Linked DNA regions of Mus musculus: regions 2, 3 and 4 are each reported to be linked to region 1. Evidence: microRNA targets listed by miRTarBase, many of them from high-throughput screens and not tested one by one. Region 1 holds a microRNA gene; each other region holds the end of a gene's coding sequence.
What was found. The annotated mature microRNA mmu-miR-466q reads GUGCACACACACACAUACGU and lies in region 1 at 3,760-3,779, shown strand. An mRNA with a match to its seed (bases 2 to 7 or 8) in the 3' UTR can be bound and repressed. Matches are read on the target gene's strand: a 7mer-m8 pairs with bases 2 to 8, a 7mer-A1 pairs with bases 2 to 7 and ends in A, and an 8mer does both.

Region 1 (5,074 bases):
AGTCTTTTCTTGAGTGGGGGATGGGAAGAGGAATACATGAGGCTTCTGGAGCTGAGCAAGGCTGGGGATTCTGGGTCTTTTTATCAGCTAATAACTTTTTGTGTCAGTGTTTCCTTTGTCTGGTGTGTGTGTGTGTGTGTGTATGTGTGTGTGTGTGTGTGTGTGTGTGTGTGTGAGAGAGAGAGAGAGAGAGAGAGAGAGAGAGTGTGTGTGTGTGTTGTGTGTGTGTGTCCGTGTGTGTGGCACACTGATGTGTGTCTATATGCATGTGTATATTGCAGGAGAATGATAGAGGTTGGTGTTGGGGGTCATCTTCCATAGCTCAGTTCCACTGAGGCAGGATCTCTGCATCAAACCTGAAGCTCGCTGATTTGAGCACTCTATCTAGCTTACTCTGGGAATCTCCACTTTCCTGGGCTGGAATGACAGCTGGATTGCCATGTGCATTTATGTGTGTTCTGGAATCCTAGTTCTGGTCCTCACACTTGCCTAACTAGTGCTTGAGTTACCCAGGCATCTCTCCAGCGTCTACATCCCATTTTATACATGTCAAACTGTACCCATTTAACTCTTCGGTGGTTCACTAAGCAAATCTCAGGAGACACAAATGGAACAAAAGCACCGGCTTGGAGCTTCCAAGGGAGCAATAGAGGATGGGTGGATTGAGTGGTGAATTATACTCATGTGTTTGTGCATGTGTGTGTGTGTGGGGGGGCACAGGCACACATATAAGTTATTTGCACATGTGTGGTGGTCATAAGTTGACCATATGTCTTCACCCACCTGTTTCTACTTCCTTAGCAGTGGTTTTACAAAAACATATCACCTGACTTAGGCTTTTTTTTTAAATGTGAAAATTAGTACATTTAGTAGTTATATTTTAGAAAATTTAAAATACATAATGAATCGGGGGGGGGGGACCCTTGTTAAAAGAAGACAGCTGACACAAAATGTGAGAAGCACTCTGTTCAGTAGTCTGCTGTGAATACTTACCAAGGAGAGGGCAGTTCACAATGAGCATGTGCAGAGTGGCTTGAGCAGGTGACTGTTACTGTCACTGCAGTTGTCAGGGATCTGTCAAGCAGCTGTTCGGGTCATCAAGTTTACCATGCTCCTGAGACAACCTCTGTCTTTCCTCTGTGTGTGTATCTATGTGTAGATGTGTACTGGCACACACAAACCTTTGTCTTTGTGCGTAGGAGACCTGAAGTATCTTCCTGGACAGTTCTCTGTTTGCTGAGGCATTTCTCAATGAAATCTAACACTTGCCCATCCACTAATCCAGTTAGACAGCTTGCCCTGGGAATCCCTGTCTGGGCCTCTCTAGAGCTGGGATTACAAGTGGCCACGATGCCTACCAAGCTGTTGTGTAGATTTGAAGGTCTGCACACCGATCCTTATGCATAAATGCTTTATCTACTGAGCTATCTTATCAGGCTGACAGTGAAATTATTAAAACCATATGTTACATAGAGTCCAGTCATTTCCATTTTTATGAATTATCCATGTTATATATTAATAATTTTGGAACAAGTAGGACAATTACAAAAAGATCTTGTAGTTGGAAATTATACTGCCCAGAGTTAATTTTTTGAGGCTCATCATTTTGATGCATCACCTTCTAGACTTTTCAAAAATTCCAGTTTGGTCATAACAGATATACAATGATATGCCTACCATTATTTGACCTGGAGTTATGTTTAGGCATAGAAATGCATGTCGGTGTCGCAGACCCTGCCCTTCCTCAACAGCCCAGAGTGCAGAAGTTTGACTTGGACCCATGAATGTCCCATGGATATATATATATATATATATATATATATATATATATATATATATAAGCATTTCAAAAAAATTACCCTCTTTTTGAGATTATAATATAATTACATCATTATCCCCTTCCTCCCTCCAAACCCTCCCACAATGCCTTGTGCTCTTTCAAACTCATCGCCTCTTTTATCATTATTTATTGTTACACACATACACACATATTAGGAATGTATGTATGTATGTAGGTAGGTAGGTATATCTCTAAAAACATAAATACAACCTATTCAGTTAGAAACTATATCCATAACATCTAAACATGAGCTGAACAAGGGCAACACTAGACATGCTGAAGTAGGCAGTGGAAAGCCCTCCATCCTACACAAAGACCTACAAAATGCGGAGAACAGGAGAAATTGCTTATCCAATACCAAATGGACAGCCCTGGAAATATACATACAAGGGACATTATACACAGCTTGGCTTTTGCATATCAGAATGGTGTACAGGGGAGCTGGTCTCGAGACAAAGCAATGTTAACTGTAGATTCTGCTCTCTAATTTCTTTTAAGAGTGTATCATTTGTCACAGTGCTCTGCCAACTGCTAACTGCAGTATCGTTTGTTCTGTTGGTCCACTAAGAATGCCTGTTGAAAACACACAAGTGCTGCAAAACAGCGCCAGAAGAAGCCTTCACAACTCTGATTTCTGGGTCAACTGGTATTGGAACATGCTTCCTCGGGTGAGGGTTCTTAAGAAAAAAGATTGCTGGAAAGCGGGCACCAGAGTAGACAGAGACAGGCATGGGATGGGCTCCAGCTTCAGTTTTCTCTTTCAGTCTTGAACAAAGTACCGACCTCTTCTGAGCATCAGTATCTTCATCGAGAAGCCATGGGCAGCATGCATGCTTCTCATCTGATTAGAGAGTTGAGATGGAGATACATAGGGTGCTCCTGTGTGCAGCAGGACTCACTCATGACCTCGTTTCCTCTTCCCTTGTTTTTTACGAAGTCTGCAGAGAAGTGCCAGTGCCCAGATTAGTCAGTGAACGATGATAATGGCATGCTAATATTTATCCAGTGAAGCACTTTGCACAGAACTATTTGTATCATGTTTGTATAATTAGAGGAAACGCTTCTCATCATACATTATGATGTGAACTTTCCTTCCTAGGCTCCCGGTAATTAGATTTGGGTGAGGAAAAATTCCCCGAGTTGTAAAAATATACAAAAACTTTTCTCGAGTTTGCTTTGTGTTTTATATTTGTGACTAGAGTTTGCCATTTCTCTTTTTATTAGGTGCTCACCACAAGTATGTTAATGAGTGGAAGTAGTGGGTGAAAACTGGCGTTTGAGAGCCATGTTAGGTTTAAGCTGACATGAAATTCATATTTGGAGAAACAGAGTAGGATCCGAAGTGACTAGGTAGTATAAATGCTTCAGAAAGCCTCGGTATATTCCTTGAAGAAAATAGACAATTGGATACTTTTTGCTCTGGGCTGTGAAAACCCTTCTGAAGAATGTGGCATCTGGATTCTACTCAGCTGAGTCCACATGGGTATACTACTAGTAGACTTTACTACTATCTGGGGGGTAAGGTGGGGTTTGCAATAGGTGCAAATAAAACTTTATTGAAGTATTAAATGTATATATCACAAGAGAGTGCTTAACAGTGGGGTGGAGCAAAAAAAAAAGAGCTGAGAAATTTTCATGCAGAAAACTGAAGGAATTTAGTGAAATTCTTTATTTTTAACTCCTTCCCATGCTTGAAACAGGGGTCTCTAGTCTAGCCTGGTCTTGAACTCAGTCCTCCTGTCTTAACATCCTGGGTGTTGAGATTACAGGCAGTCACTACCATATTTATCTAAAGTCTACCTTAGGAAGACCCCTCTACTCCTGAAACAGTTTTAAAAATCTCCTTTATATTCTTATTACCTTCTCTTTAGTGTGTGTGTGTGTGTGTGTGTGTGTGTGTGTATGTGTGTGTAGTATATGTGCACACACACACATACGTACCCATGCATGCCATATCTCATCTCTGGAGATAATAGGACAACTCGTAGGAGTCAATTTTCTCCTTTACCCAGTAGTGCCCAGAGACTGATCTCAGGTTGTCAGGCTTGGCAGCAAGCACCCTTACCCTCTGAGCTGCCTTATAGGTGTGCTTTATATTCTTAATACTACTGAAGAGTGCAAGAACCGTATGTTTGGATGGATTGTCTACCAGCATTTATTATAGTGCCAATAAATGTGATTTCATTAAATACAATAAGGACTTTTTAAAGCACAATATTACTAATGCATAACACAATGTCCATTAGCCGCAGTGATGACATCATCTTGTGGCATGCAGCCTCTGGGAAACTCCACTGTACAACTGTGGGGCAAGAGCGAAAATAGCATTTGATGTCATTGTATTAATATATAAAAAGGGCTCCAGAGACTCAGAGGACCTCGGGCATCTCTGAGGACAATTGTAGTGGCTTGTAGTCACTAGAGAGGTCACGCTGATCTGTCCTTCCGTAACCCATCACTCCATTCCAGGATGAATGACATTATTCACAGGGTTAGAAATGAAGAAGGCAGAATTTCACAAGTGGCTCGTGGCCGAGATTTGGTACTGCAGGAGCACAAGAAGAACTACAACAACAGAAGCATTTCATTTGCCATCACTGTGTATCTTTGCATAAGTATTTTTTGCACAAGTTAGGTTAGATCTACATCAAATGAAAAGAGTGGATGTATTTTAGTCAAACTGTGTTAGGAACTTCTGGCCTATAATAGCAGCCAAACATGGGATGTGTGTGCAACCTCCAAACTGGGAAACACTTAAGAGGTGTTTCCTTGAGCTCCTGGCTTGCTTGGCTAGGGCAAATATGACGAGGAGCCTACCAGGTGCTCTGCTCAGAGCTGCAATGGGGAAAACCCCATCCAAACGACAGCAGAGCACACTCAGCTAGTAACAGCTAGCTCTCATTAGCCCCTCACCCGATACAATTAACAGAAAAGAATGAAAGACAGAATAAGCTTAGGAAACAGGTAAAGGGTGGTTTAAGTATGGTCTTAATTCTTTTGAGACAACCATCCCTCCTCTCTCTCTCTCTCTCTCCTCTCCCTTTTTTCCCTTTAATGTGATGTATTTATTTTTATTTCATGTGTATGGCTGTTTTACCTGCATACATGTCTGTGCATCATTTGTGTGCTAGGTGACTGTGGGTGGGAGTCAGTCTCAGTCTATCTAGATTTACAGATGGGCTGAGCTATCATACTGGTGCTAGGAACCAGATTAGTGTCTTCTGTAGGAACAGT
Region 2 (5,074 bases), not on the chromosome of region 1:
TTTCATATAATGTATGTAATTATGCATTAGATATGTATATTATATATGTACGTATACATATATATGTATATATAAAGAGAGAGAAAGTGCGAGAGGCCAGAAGCGGGCCCCACACCAGATCCCCTGGAGCCAGAGTTACAGGTAGTTAGGAGCCACCGCCAATGTAGGTGCTGGGAACTGAACTGGGGTCCTCTGTGAGAGCCACAAGTCCTCTTAACACTGAGCCATCCTTCCAGCCCCAGGACCCCATCTTTTAAAAAGTAAATAAAACCAGATGTAATGTCGGGGGATTTTTATAAATGAAACATAAGGAGCCGTCATGTCAGCACTGTCTGACTTTCACCTGGAGGCCATGCAAACACAGGCTTACAAAGGAAGATGCAGGCTGACACTCACCCTGAGCCCCACCCCCAGATGATTAACCATCACAGCTCTCTCACCTCAGAATCCAGTTAACAGCAAGCAGTTTCTCATTTCCCTTCATTCTCCACACTGGCTGGAGGCAGTGGCATGACAAGGCCCACACTGCCCCCTACCGCCCGGACTCCTCCCTGACCACCTTTAGCTCCCACTTTGAAAAAAAGAAAAGCAACAGAAAACCCCCACTAAAGTCAAATGTCTTTATTTTATATATAAAAAAAATTTTTGTACAGTTTTAGTTCCTATGTTTAAGAAAAAAAAGTCCCTAAAATTGCCATAATGTTTAATCCACTGCAAATGTAAAAACAAGCTTTTTATATATTAAAAAAAATTTACATTTTACAATTTTCTACATGCATGCACAAGGTCTCAGCTCTGGAACAAACAAAAAAAAAATAGCCCCAAAAATTTGTTTTAAAAATTTTGAAAATAAAAAAGAAGAAAAGAAAGAGAGAGAAGAAAAAGGATTTTAAAAAATCTAGATCCAACAATGGAAAGTTCTACATTTACAATCTCACTTGGAAGAGATTCAAGAAGCCCTTCCTTTTGCGCACAGAAGGACAAATTACAACAATCACACAATCAGAACAGAATCCATCAGCAGATGCTGCCCCACGGGGAGAAGAGAGGAAAGAAAAAAGACCGACAGACAGACACCAGGAAGGGACAAGGCAGAGCTAGGCCCAACCAACAGGGAGAGCAGGGACCCAGACAAACAGGGACTAAGAGAATCCTGCCTCCTTGTCTTTATTAAATCAGGATTCACAACGGGAATGCTGTGGCCAGCCAGCTAGGAGCGAAAGCACAGAGCGTAATGGCAGGGATCAGAGGAAGTGGGAGATCAACAGAGAGAACAAAGACATACATTTAAGGAGAAACTGGAAAGGGACCAATGGGGAGGGTGACAGTGGCGAGGTAGGTGATGGACGGAGGCACGGTGTCCTGGTGTGGAGGCACGGCGTCCTGGTGTAGAGGGAAGAGCGGTAAGCCCGCACTGAGGTCATGAAAACAAAGGCCAAGTTGTGTAGTGGGGATGAGCCAGGATGCCACCCAGCCGGAGCACACACACAGAGTGCACTGGAGTAGCCCAGCCCAGCATCCCCTATGGTGAGAGAGCTGAGCAGGCTAGTCTCATGCCCGCAGTGCAAGCATGAGAAACCACGGAGCCACCGGTGGGACAGCGCTGGTTGAGGAAACTGCTCAGAGAGACTGGGTCAGCTGCCCACCCATAGCAGTTCACAGCATGAAGACAACTTCCCATTCTGGAGAAGCAAAAGACACACACACACACACACACACACACACACACACACACACACACACCTCGCACACACAGAGCCATACATTTGACAATTCATCCTGACATCTTAAAAAATAATAACAACCAAAGCAGACGAAGATACCACAGTTCTGACACGAAGGACCAAAACGCTACCATTCTTAAGTCACAGCCCTTAGTGCTTAGACAGGGAGTCAGGGAAACTTCTTCTCTTTGTTTTAGGATAAAAGGAATGGAAATATCACAGTGATTAAAAAACATGGCAGGTTCTTAAAATAAACACTCCTGTGCCCCTAACCTAGGGCATCAACTAAGATCCCAAATCTTTTCCTTCGGCCCACCCCACCCACCCACTCCTCAAAGCAACAGCAAAACCCGCTCTTGCCCACAAAGGCAATGACCCCAATCACCATCCGGGCCCTGCTTTCCAGGATAGTGAGGTATTTACGTGACTCAAAAGGTTCTCCTCTGAAACCTGAATTTTCTTTCTTCTTCTTCTCCTTCTTCTTCTTTCTTTCTTTCTTTTTTTTTTTTTTTAAAGAAAAGATACCTTCCCATTACCCAAGGACATCGTAATTTCACTGGAATTTATTCAGGCACCTCTATCACAGCCCTAAGCTAACCTCGAGGCCCTGCGTAAGTCAGCTCCAAAGACCATTCCCATGAGAACAAAGTAAGCCCTAATGGACAAGCCCTTTAGTAACTGGTAGGTAGGCTTCCACTTTGAATCCTGCAGCCGCACGGTGAGATCAAAGGTACCCCATCTTAGGGCGTGCTTTGCACAGCAAATACCAGCAGAATACCCAGGGACGTGAAGGGCCCGTGCAGGGGCTTTGAGGGTTATTTAAAGAAGTGACACAGGGACATTTCTCCATCGAAGCCACCAGGACAGTCATCCGCATGGATCCCAGAAAGAAAGATGTGGGTGTTCCCTATTTCTAGTCCTTGTGGTAAAAAATAATTTAAAGGTGTCTAATTTAAAGGCTCAAGTTTACTCTGAAAAATATCCATTAGAGGGTTAGGGAATCCTGCTCAAAGTGACTACTGAGATTCGTTCAGATTTGCTGCAAAGGCTGTGTTAGTTAGAATGGGGCGAGGAGCTAATACCCACAAAAGGCAGTAATCCTGGTCCCTCACCCTGATAAAGAGCCCAGAAAGCGAGGCGGGAGAAAAGAGGATGGGACCCTGGAAGGCCATGGTAAAGAGACCCCTGAGGCAAAGAACTGGATTTAAGGCAGGGGATGAGAAGGAGTTCCTGGCCCCTCCCCATAAGAGACGAGGCCACAGGTCTCGGAGCCCGAATTCAGCAGGACTGTGGTAGCTGGCGCAAAACACAAAATGTCTTCGACCCCAAGGTTGGTCAGGGTCTGCATGTCATGGAGTCCTTAAGAAGTCAACATGTATCCTTCATGGGGAAGGGTGGGGAAGAACAGGTCAGTGGGTTCAGAGGGACAAGTGAGGTCAGTGACAAGGGTCTCTCCAACCTCAGGGGTCTATCCTGCCCTTCCTCTCGGGAGTTGTCTAAGAAAGACACATTACACCTTCCCCACAGCCCTGGTAAAGTGGTCAGAGAGGTTCCACCTCTGTTTGCCTATGATCACATGACCATACAAGTCAGAAACAGCAGTAAAGACTCCTGAGTAGAAGACTGCACTTCCCCTTCTTCTATGTTTCTGTGTGTGTGTGTGTGTGTGTGTGTGTATGTGTGTGTGTGTATCTGTGAGGTGCTGTGTGTCCGTGTGTGTGTCCGTGTCCGTGTGTGTGTGTGTGTGTCCGTGTCCGTGTCCGTGTCCGTGTGTGTGTCCGTGTGTGTGTGTGTGTGTGTGTGTGTGAGTGTGTGTATCTGTGAGGTGCTGTGTGTGTGTGTCCGTGTCCGTGTGTGTCCGTGTGTGTGTGTGTGTGTGTGTGTGTGTACCAGGAAGCACAGCTGTAACACTGGCGAGCAAGACTGCAGAGAGAATCCTAATTCTGGGATTATGTCACAGGTGCATCCTTGCCCAGGGACTCAGGGCTAAGCGTAGGGACCGAGGATAGGATTAGCTGTTGTCCCACAGGAGTTTGGCACCATGGTCCTCTAGGGTCAGAGCTGTGCCCCCAAGAGAAACTCTATCAGGGGCCACTAGAGAGCGCGGCTCTAAGAATGTACATTTCTAAGTTGGAGCTCAGGAGGCAAGGGTAGAATCCGGAAGGCCCTGAATGCTTCCATCCAGGGAAGGTTTGCGGGGGAAGAATGGGGTGGGGGGATGGGAGAGTTGTGAGGCACTGTTTCCTGCAGGGCCTGGAGTGATACAAAATTGGAGGGCAGGGTGGTTCCCAGGTATTGTTAACAAGATTTATCTCCAGATTTCCAGATGGGAAAAACTGAGGAAGAGGGGAGACTGGGTACAGGATAAGTTAATTCAAGTAAAAAAAAAAACAAAAAACAAAAAACAAAAACAAACAAGAGCAAGAGGAAGTAGGACTGGCAGAAATGTGTCAGGGCCAGAGAACCAAGCCCCTCCCACTCCGCAGGAACCCCCCACATCCCTCCTCCGCGGCTGCTGCAAAAGTCACACAGAGGTCTCCGACTGCAGCCGCATGACGAACTTATGTGACTTGGGATCCACAAATTCCTCAGAGAGTTTGAAGAAGGGCACCTTCTTGGTGCTCACTACCAAGCTGAAGTCCTGGCGCTTCAAGAGGAACACGATGCCATCCTTAAGCCCATTGGTCACCGGCTCCTCGCTCACCAAGGTCCACTGTTTGGCCAGCCAACGTTCCTTGTGGTACTGGATGGTGGGTCCAGCAGCCAAATATCGCTCCAGGAAGGCCTGAGGAAGGGAGAAGATACTGTTGGGGCATCTCGTGCACCCACCCACCCTTCATCCTCTGTGACACAGCTTTCTAAGATAGCTAGGGTGTTTCTAAGCTCATTCTATACCCATGAACTGGTATCTTCAAATGTGAGTGCAGAAGACAGCCAGAGACTCCTAATATATTGATGGGGACAATGACATGCACAGAAGTGATACAGCTCCAGTCAGGACTGGAATTCACCCCTATCCTTCACCCTGTTCCTTGCACCAGGCTGTGGCTAGAGCTACTTGAACCTCATTCTTCCTTCTTCCTTCCCTTTCATACAGTTGATATGACTAGAACCATGTAGGCCTACACTAAGAGGGAAGTGGGCCAAGAAAAGCTTCAAGTGCAACACTCTGTGTGTGTGTGTGTGTGTGTGTGTGTGTGTGTGTGTGTGTGTGTACATCCATGTGCACACACACTGTTTTGCTGGTAAATGAAATCAAGAATTCAGGCCTGATCTACCACTGAGCTACATTCCCAGTCTCTTTATCACCCACTCAACAAGGAAGGCTCCGAGAGCGCCATTATAGGAAG
Region 3 (5,074 bases), not on the chromosome of region 1:
TCATTGTTGTGATGCTGGAGACAGAATGTAGGCCTTGTACGTGGTAAGGCATTTGTTCAACCAGTGAGATACATCCCCAGATCTCTTTATATTTTATCTGAGACAAGGTCTCGGTTGTCCTGTCTAGCCTTGAATTCGCTCTCTACCAGGCAGGTCTTGTATTTTTAATCCCCCTGCCTCTAGAGAAAGCAGTTGTGTCTTCAAGACCCTGGGAAAAGGTGGGCATGGTGCTACATCTTCTTATCCCAGCACTCAGAGGGGTGAGGCAGGAGGATTGCTACAAGTTAAAGGCCAGCCTGAGCTACATAACAAACATGAGGCCAACAAGAACCACACAGCAAGACTCTGTCTCAGAGAGAAATGCTTCTTACAGGGTTCCCAAAGGAGGAGGTGGTACTGACTAGGGAAAGATCAATTTTAGCAGTCTAATTACTCAGTATTCCTCAAAACAGAGTGGGAAAAGGCATTTGCAACATATATCAAGTATATACATATATAAAAGTATATACAAATTTAATGCAATTCAACATTAATTTCAATAAAGAGAAACTATTAAGATGTGATGTTTTACCAATTCAAACTTTATGCATATTTCCAAAGCAATTTATTTTCTTAGACTTCAATTTACAATACTTTTTATTTTTATAGGAATCCAGGTGGTGGAAGAATGCACTTGGCTATTGCTGTTGTAATCACCCTACTCCCACTCCTGTCGTGGGTCTACGTACACATGAACAAGGAGATGCGGTCCTCCTGGCCAACTCACTGCAAGACAGTCATTTAAATGAACCCAATAATGTTTACAACATGTTATACACATTGGGGTAATGGGACGATTTCCCAGAGATGATTTAAAGTCTTGGGAATGTAACAAGGCTACTCACAATGTGATGGAAGATTGACTAGGTCAGATAAGAATTGGGAGCTGAGTCTCCAGAGGTCTCTTCTGCAACAGCACTGGACCAGGCAATGAGCAGAAACTTGAGTTTGAATCCAGCTTTAGCACTATGTGATGGGGCAAACCCACGAATCTCCTGGTACATATTTCCTCACATATAAAGTAGGATGTCAGATCTCATTAGTTACCACAACCAAACTATTGTTGAAGGCACTCTGAGAAGATGAAGCTCACTTGAGTTCCAAAGGGAGTAAGAGTGAGAGGGGGCTGAGGCTATAACCAGCCTCATGCTGACATGGAGGGAGGTTCAAAAACTAATCTTAATGTACTTAACTGGCTCAGCTGTACTGAACCCAGAAAAATTCCAGGGCAGGTGAACCAAATGAAAGTAGAAATTAAAGAAAATATAGAAAAGATAAATTTGGAGTTAGCAAGAATAGGGAATATTAATCATAAGTTATTCTCCGTGAAAACTAAGATGGAAATCTATACATCTTTTTAATGAATGTTGAAGTGACCACAGGGGAGGAGAGCTCTGTAGGGTGACACAGTCCAACAGGGCATACACAGGTTGTTATCGAGCACTTGACCTGTGGGCAGAGCACTTGACCTGTGGGCAGGGTGACCAAAGAAGTCAATTTTTAACTTTTCTACTTTTAGAAGCAGGGAGTCAACTGCCAGGAAAAGTTAAGTGTGCATGGGATCGTGTGTGTGTGTGTGTGTGTGTGTGTGTGTGTGTGTGTGTGTGTGTGTGTGTGTGTGTGTGTGTGTGTGTGTGTATGGATCTTCTTCAACTGCAAATTTTGGTATGGACTGTTGGTGTTGGTCTGGCGCTATGTATTCAAATGCTAAATACTGGCCCCTGAGATCTGATTGCCTCATTTCATGTACAGCAAATATTATGTAAACTTTGCTTGCCAATCTTTTGTGACTGGTTAAATAAAAGTGGTTAACAGCCAATTACTGGGGAGAATTACTAGGAAGGCAGGGCTTGTCATAGGGCTGGGGGAGAGGGAAAGAGAGAGAGAGAGAAGGAGGAGGAGGAAGAAAGAGGAGGAGGAGGAGGAAGAAAGAGGAGGAGGAGGAAGAAAGAGGAGGAGGAGGAAGAAAGAGGAGGAGGAGGAAGAAAGAAGAGGAGGAGGAGGAGGGAGCAGTTCACTTTGATGGGATGGACCAGGAGCATAGGCCGTTGATTGGCAAGTAACCTGGGGAGTGCAGCTGAGAAATAGCCAGTCTAGCACTGAAAAAATAGTTTAGGGGTAATCGTCCAGTCATTGTGCTGGAAGCTGATTAAATAAATAGTTTGGACTCTGTCTCGATTATTAGGGGGCTGACAGGGTCACAGTAATTACTAGTTATTTAATACTACTAGTTATTAAATACCTTACAGCAACAGGCAACAGGTGAAGCATTTGCAAGAGTTTAGCGTTGGGGTGGATGTGCTCCAGTGTAAAACACAGTAGACGTTAGAGACACAAACACAGAACAATGTATTTTATACTAAGTGCATGCTGAAAAAATATTTTGAGATAAGTCGGGCTAGATAAAATATATTGAATTTATCTTTTTTTTAATTTTCTTTTTTTTTAAAAGATTTATTTATTTATTATATGTAAGTACACTGTAGTTGTCTTCAGACACTCCAGAAGAGGGAATCAGATCTTGTTACGGATGGTTGTGAGCCACCATGTGGTTGCTGGGATTTGAACTCAGGACCTTTGGAAGAGCAGTCGGTGCTCTTAACCACTGAGCCATCTCGCCAGCCCCTGAATTTATCTTTGAAGGTGTGATTGCTTGAGTATTATTTAAGTAGCTCACATTAAGTGTCAGATATCTGCAGGGGGAGCTTATCTAGGCTGGAATCAAACTCTAACCAGATGAGTGGTGGTTGACGTGGAATGCCCCCTCAGGCCCATGTCTGAATACGTGGTCCCCGCTTGGCAGTGATGCTTGGGTGGGTTAGAATGTGTGGCTTTGCTGGAGGAAGTAGTTGCTGGGGATGAGATTTGAGGTTTCAAAAGGTTCAGGCCATTCCCAGTGTTGTTCTCTGCCTCGAACTTTGGAACACGGTACGAATGCTCAGCTGTTCCTGCCACCATGGACTTTAACCCTCTAGAACAGCAGGTTCTGCACCTGTGGGTCACAACCCTTTCACAGAGGCCACCTAGAGCCATCTGCATATCAGATATTTACATTAAGATTTATAACTAGCAAAATTACAGTTATGAAGTAGCAACAGAAATAATTTTATAGTTGGGGGTCACTACAACGTGAGGAAGTCTATTAAAGAGTAGAGGCATTAGGAAAGTTGAGAACCACTGCTCCGGAACCATAAATCCCGAATTACATACTTTCTTTTCTAAGTTGCCTTGGCCATGATCTTTTGTTACAACAACAGAAAAGTCGCTAAGGCAAGATTCATTTCAGTTGTAAGAAATGCTTCTTTTGAATAGAATTCATGCTCACCACGCCGAGAGTGAAAATGAGTCAGATACTGTTTTGTATCATGTAAGACAACAGTACTCTGTAAATACTAAAGGGATCCTTAAGCCAGATTATCAAGGACAAGATAAAATTGATATTAAAACAACTACAGTGCACTTCGAGTCAATAAAATACACGCCGAGGATCTGAGTTTTCCAGCGTCCCTTTAGCCTGCGTGGTCTTTACAGCTTTTGTATTAACTTTAGAACAAAGTCATAATGAGTCCAGTCCATTTGCAAATTTGACACGGGACCTACTGATCTGCTGAATCATGCTTGATGTCTGTGTGTAAATGAGTCATGTTCAGAACACAGATCCGGTATTTTAATTCCCTGTATCAAGACTAGTATGGCTGTAAATATTCATAGTACCCTGTGCACCCTCACAGATGCACGGAAGACACTGACTTTCAGTGTGCGCTTGCCTTGGATCTTACCAATGGAATAAAATAATTTTTATCTTTTGAAGGTAGGGTCTACATAGATCAAGCTAGCCAACATGCCAGGCTAAGCTTTCTTCTCCTTCAGTGTTTCTGGTTTTGTTTCAGTACAGATGAGATGTCCATGCATACTGTCAGGCAGCCTGGAGTTGGGCTTACTGGCCAGCTCTGCTGCTCTTCCCATGAGAGTCTCGAGGTTGGTGGGAGGCAAGACTGAATGATCTCAGCATCTGTTAGGACCTCTCAGCTGTTTTCACAGAACGGAATGTCACCTATATCTAAGTATAGGTGTTCTGAAACAAACGACCAACGTCCACTCATACAGCAGGGTAAGCAGGCCAGACTTGACTTAGCTTTGGGCTTTCATGTGCTAAGCTGTAGAGTTAACACAAGAATAATTCTCCTTGTACAAAAAAAAAAGAAAGAAAGAAAGAAAGAGAGAGAGGGAGGGAGGGAGGGAGGGAGGAAGGAAGGAAGGGAGGGAAGGAAGGAGAAAGGGAGGGAAGGACGGAGGGATGGAGGGAGGGAAGGGAGGGAGGGAAGGGAGGGAGGGAGGGAAAGTAAAGAAATTCAAATTAGGCCAAACACAGCCCCTTCTCAGGAGTATATGCCCACATGAGTCTCCTTCCTGGTTTATTTTAATATTTTCAGTACTAGCTTTCAGTACCTGGATATATTATCCAGAAATAACACTTCTGAGTTTTATCTTCACTCACACATACTCAAGGTGCAAATACATTTTGTACACAAACAGAATACTTAAGAGTACAACTGAGAATTTAACTTTTTATGGAATGTAATAAAACATAAAACAGTATCGTTCACTTTCTACAAAGCAGACAAGATAATGAGGCGAAAATCACAAAGCTTCTTCCCTTTTATAATTCATAATTCTGTCTGGAACTCTGCCTCTCCCTTTCAGCAGCATTTTGTCAGGGAAGACATGAACTGTGCCAAAGGCCTGGCTGTCCGGAGCTGTTTCAATAACTCCTTCAAGGTTGACATGGTGCACGCCGAAAGGATCTTCAGAGTAGCCACCGTCATGTGTGTGACCAGCAAGGAAACACACCACACACTTGTGAGACCATATGATTGACAGAGCATCCACGTAGTTCCAAGCCAGGCACACGCTGTCAGAGGCCTCTGGGTAAATAGGAAGATGGCCTGTTAAGGAAAAATTAGGAGCAAATTAAATCTTTTTCCATCAAGAAAAAAGACCAAAAGCTAGAATTCAGGAAACCAAACCTAAACAC
Region 4 (5,074 bases), not on the chromosome of region 1:
AGGATATTGGCCTACACCTAGCCTTTCTCCAGACCTTTGGAATCCATACCTGTAGAGTGTTGGCAGGGCATCTTTGCAGTTCTGTACCTTGCTACAGGCCTGCTGTGCCTGATATGAGGAGGGAATGGGGTAAGCTTGGGGTTGTCTCTGGAGGATGAGACAGGGGACCTTGGCAAGTGAGAGTCTCCTCTTTGGCCCACCGCAGCAAAGCATATCCATGACCAGGTGTTTTCTTTGCTCACGATTCTGCAGGAACCGCCTGAGGGGCCTGAACCATGTGCCCCCTTCACTTTTCTACCCATCAGGAGCAGGCGAGAAAGAGCCTTTCACTGTGAACTCTAGCCTCAAACAGTGGCCTGAGAAATGCCATCAGAAATGCAACACAAAGGTCTCCAGGTCTGTCACCTCACTCCCCAAAAAACAGAAGAACTGAGAGCCAAGAAAACTGTTTCCCTATGCCAAGATTCAAAAACCAGTATCTAGATGGCTGGCATTCGTACAGAATGGGATGAACAGTCCCTGAGGTGAAGGCAAGACAGCAGAGGAGCTAGCGCCTGCTGCTAGGCCCACGGACTGCCCCTGTGTGTTCTAGACAAGCACGTGCCCTGCTCCAGAGAGAAGAGGCACAGTCAGAGATGATACGAGGGTACGATGTCTACAGACTGGTACTCAGCGTGTGTGCACAATGTGTGCATGTGTTTTCACCTGTGTGCAGGCACATGTGACCATTTGTGCACACATGGATATACGGTCCTTTGTCACGCCCCATCTTATTTTGTCGAGGCAGTCTTTTACAGAACCAGGGGCTTGCTATTCCAGCTGCTCCAGTCAGGAAGTGGTTGGCCTATCCCTGCACACCCCAGCACTGGGGCTACAGTGTGCCCCTCCCTCTCTTAATCCAAACGCAGATCCTTATGCTTGTCCATCAAGCAAGCACGTTACCCAGTCCCTGGTGCACATCACTCAGAGCCTTAAGTGAAACACTTTGGAATACAGGACCATCTTCCAGGTCCCCTTGAGTGCCGGGTCCACAGAGGGGCAGCTGTGGTTTGGACCTGTGAACATCGGGAGCTGCCTTCTCACCTCAGCTCCTGGCACTGGGCTACCACTCCTCGTGGGTAGCTGTGGCAGCTTCTTGCTCCCCCAGATCCAGCCCCTCCAGGACCCTCTTAGTCCCAGTTAGAACTCAGAGACCAGAAATACTTTTTATTAAAACACTGATCATTATTAAAACACCTTGAGGTACATTAAATAAATACAACCTTTCCAGTTGTACGAACAGGTCTCTGGTGGTCTGGAAACAACTTCCTATAAACTCTGCCTCAGCAGCAGCTGTGGGCTGACACAGCCACATGGGGTGGGGGAGAGAAGACCCAAAATGAGCTTTCCACTCCAGGGCTGGCTGCAAGCGTTTCAAATTCTACCAGCGTCTCCCTGGGAAGGAGACTTAAGTCCTTGTCATGAAGCCTCCAGCCTTCCTCACAGTAGAGTTGCTGCCCATCGTGGATTCACATCATCAGCATCTTCTTGCCCCCAAACAGAGTCAAGGGATGTCCTAGAAGATACTGATTTTGGGGGGGGGGGGTTCTGGGGGCCCAGGGCCTGGCAAGCCAGGCATGAGAGCATCTCCTCCCAAATGGTTACTATTGGACCCAGTTCAGATATCAACACAAGCAGGGACAGACCTTCCAAGATGGAAGGTTGTGCAGGCAATGTGAAGAAAGACGGCTTTGCTTCCGCAAGGGACCCACATAACTGCCTGGGGTTCTTAGCACTAGCTCACCACTGAGGCAGGGTTAAGGAACCCAGAACAGACAAGTCAAATTGCAAGACTGTTGTCTAGTGGCTGTTACCAGTACCTCTGGCTTCCTGGAAGCCTGGAGGTTGGGCATTTTTAATGCCCTCTTGGTCCATCTGGGGCCCAGAGAAGGTAAACAAAGACATATCTGTCATCAAACACCCACCCAATAGCATGAAGTGCTGTAGTTTCTTTATCCATCTTATAAGCCTGTTAGGGGAGCCATCTCATAACCTAGCTAGGATAGTTTGTGTGTACCACTTCCTTGAGAATGTCTGGGACTCGGGGCTTCCCGGTGGTAGTGTTAGTCTGCACCCGAAAAGAGGTGTGACTTGAGGCAGGAGTGCCCCATGATAGTTGAAGGCCATCTGTAAAGAGGCAGCATGAAAGCCACAGTGCCCTGTGCTGAATCCAGAAACTGGTCACCCTGGCCACACTATGAAAATACCTCCAAGCTTGGGTCAGTTGGAATGGGGTCGGCCCTGGCTTCTCTTGGATCATGGCTTGTTCTGAGATCCACAAATGTTTAAGCACACTGCTGCATGTCCCTCCAATCAGGCGACATCCTCTTGCTGCCTCCCTTCCCCTCATCTCTGAAGTGGTGAGAAAGCCCAGCAGCCAGGCGTGAAAGTACTTCGTGCTATGAAGCTTGGGGCAAGCCACTCTACTGAAAGGGATTTTCTCATGGGGGATTTTCAAAGTCCTCACTTGAGGGAAAATTAGAGAATTTTATAGTCTGAATAAAGTGCTCAAATATTCATCTCTATTATGTCTCCTGTGGAAAAGCCAAGACTACTGTCAAATGCCCGATTTATATTTTCCAGCTTGCTAACCTCAGAAAGGCAACAGCTTATGGCAATGGTAAAGCCATCAGGGCATGGAGAACTAACTGATGGCTGCTAGGGGTTTTCCGAGGCCATGTGTGGGCTGAAGTCCCACAACTTCCAAACACACAGAGGTCTTCAGCCTAGTGGATACAGGGAATTTGGGGGGGCTGAATCAGGGTAGTAGAGGATGAAGGACAGGCAAGGGCAGGCAAGATGGAGAGAAGAGTATCCTATGCCTACCAGCTGGCCACTGAACAATGGAAGGAACACTCTGGTCCACCCACAGACTTAGGGCTTCTGTGCCTATATTGAGGCTCACAGGCCCATGGCGGTGCAGTGATTGCCCTTGATTATACCTGCTGCTGTGGGGGAAGCAGATGTGGGCGTTTCTGGCTTTTGCAGGAAGTGCTTTCAAGCAGTGCTGCTCCAGACCCATTGCTGAGAAGTGGTTGCTGTTGATCTTGCCAGAAAATGCGGTCTGAAACAGCCAAGAATGTCTTAGGTGGCCATTTTGCCCCAAGCCACCTGGTTATACCTAAGCTGGGTTTGCCTTGCTTCCGGATGTCCACCATTGGCACTCTCCCCGAAATAAGGCATTGACCATTTGCATCCTTCAACACAAGTGTGCCTGCTGCCACCTGAGTTGAGAAGGGACAACTCTGGGTCATGAGAGAGGCTTGCCTAAGCCGGAGGTGCACATATAGCAGACAGTAGCTTCCTAGCCCAGACTGTGACCTACCCAGCACAATTAGGTGAGGTCAGATACAAGGGGAAGTCCTCCAAGGGAAGAGAAGGGAGCTTATTGTTAAAACACAAGTAACAAGTATTTGCTGTGGTTCAAGGATGGGAGACTGTGTGGGAGGGACCTAGGGAGGAGGTGGGTAGCAGCCCACAGACAGAGGCCTAATGGGGAGGCCCAGTACACACGAGAAGGTGGGCATTTCAAGCCCTTGTGACACGTGCTTGCTTCCCAAGAGTATGTAGGAAAGCTTTCATTGTGGATTTATTTGCATGATAGCCCAGTGGGCAAGAAGGTGGTCCCAGGCTGTGCTAGCATGACCTATTGCCTTTGAGAGGAAGTAATGGGTCGGAATCTGATAAAGGTGTCATTGCAGAGTGATACCAGCCACACGACTCCATTGCCACTGCTACTCTCTAATCTTAACACTGAACCAAACCAGGCACAGAGGAGCATCGAGTGTTAAAGGCCTTGACTTGGGACAGATGCAGTGTCTTTATGTTCCAAAAGTGTCCCCTGTCCCAGAATTGGTATTCCCATCACATTCTTCAGTTCAAGAGGTGCTATACCCCTGAAGCGACCAGAGCTCACTAAGGGCAGGAGAGAAACATCTCTGAGTTAGTGGGACAGGCGACAAACAGTCCCCAGGAAGACAACTGATGGGAGAAAGAGTAACAGTTCCTTGCCCAAGCCACCAGCGAGCTTCCTGGATATCCTGGATGTTCTTGACCCAGCAGGCCAAAGGCCTTTCTCTACCAAGCACGGTGGCATCTTGCAGGGCCAGACTTTGCAGGCTTATCAGTGTCCACATCCAGGCCCATAGCAGCTTCACAGCTGGTCCAAGACGCCAGCACCAAAGATGGCCTCCTCCACCCTGGGCTCCTCCGAGGTGGCCATTGATCGTATGGTGCCCACCACATGTCGCACCTCTGTAGGGAGGCTGCAGTGTGCGTGTTCCAAAAACTTAGCCACCAGAACCCTGGTGTCTGCATAGGCCTTGCTCTCCACTAAAGAGTGTGGCCGCTCTTTGGAGACGGTCTGTAAGGTCTCTGGCTTGGTCCCTTGGCCCGTTTTCCAGGTATCTGGGTCACCAGTGGATGAGTGCTGGTGCTGACAGGCAGCCATGGCTGGCTGTGATGTGGAGACTAGAAATCAAAGTGAAAGAGGCAATCTGAATACAACCGTGAACTTAATGAAACCGAAGTTCCAGGAAAAAAAAACAAACAAACAAACACAAGTGTACCAGGGGAGAGTTGCTACCACTGCGTGTGACCCCGTTCCCTGGGTCACTTAATTTCCTGTCAGCCTGGCGTGAATTTCCTGTTGACTTCAAAGGGTTGAAGTGAGGTGAGATGAGTGGTGGGCCTATGAGAAGGACTAGTGGGGGACCCTGAGCTCTCTTCGCAGCCTTCTCCAACTCTATGACCTCCATCCTTTGTGGTCTGGTGGCTTACAGAGGTAGAGTAGGAACATCTAGAGACAGTCTGACTTAAGACTACATCTGAGGTGGCAGCATGGCAATGAGATCCCCCACCATGTGTGTGGGGACAGCAGCCTCTATCCACAGTCCTCCCCCAATATCCTTTAGTCCAGGCCTAGAGTAATGAATCTGGTTCCAATCTGATGTCACAATGGCACTCTACCTCAAAATTAGGACACATACCGGTTAAATGGCTCCAAGAACTAGGGAGATCTTTGGATAGTGAGATA

Region 2: miRTarBase lists Vangl2 as a target of mmu-miR-466q. Seed matches in the 3' UTR shown: 7mer-A1 at 2,477-2,483.
Region 3: the mRNA of Tmem220 is a reported target of mmu-miR-466q. Seed matches in the 3' UTR shown: 7mer-m8 at 1,590-1,596.
Region 4: miRTarBase lists Fam189a1 as a target of mmu-miR-466q. The part of its 3' UTR that is shown has no 7-base or 8-base seed match.

What each region holds. Positions count from the first base shown.
Region 1 is chr3:28,416,229-28,421,302 of GRCm38, forward strand. Mir466q (microRNA 466q) reads left to right here and starts at 3,715; the gene lies at 3,715-3,790. All of the region lies in intron 2 of Tnik (TRAF2 and NCK interacting kinase), which reads left to right.
Region 2 is chr1:172,000,354-172,005,427 of GRCm38, forward strand. It overlaps Vangl2 (VANGL planar cell polarity 2), which reads right to left. Exons shown (of 8, transcript NM_033509.4): 8 at 607-4,509. The coding sequence ends at 4,249. Among named protein-coding and RNA genes, the nearest start is that of Vangl2, 24 kb to the right of the region's middle.
Region 3 is chr11:67,033,461-67,038,534 of GRCm38, forward strand. Tmem220 (transmembrane protein 220) reads left to right here. Exons shown (of 6, transcript NM_001291042.1): 6 at 649-1,852. The coding sequence ends at 784. It overlaps Adprm (ADP-ribose/CDP-alcohol diphosphatase, manganese dependent), which reads right to left. Exons shown (of 5, transcript NM_025510.3): 5 at 4,420-4,985. The coding sequence ends at 4,681. Among named protein-coding and RNA genes, the nearest start is that of Tmem220, 11 kb to the left of the region's middle.
Region 4 is chr7:64,754,905-64,759,978 of GRCm38, forward strand. Fam189a1 (family with sequence similarity 189, member A1) reads right to left here. Exons shown (of 10, transcript NM_183087.4): 10 at 1,192-4,509. The coding sequence ends at 4,193. Among named protein-coding and RNA genes, the nearest start is that of Nsmce3, 120 kb to the right of the region's middle.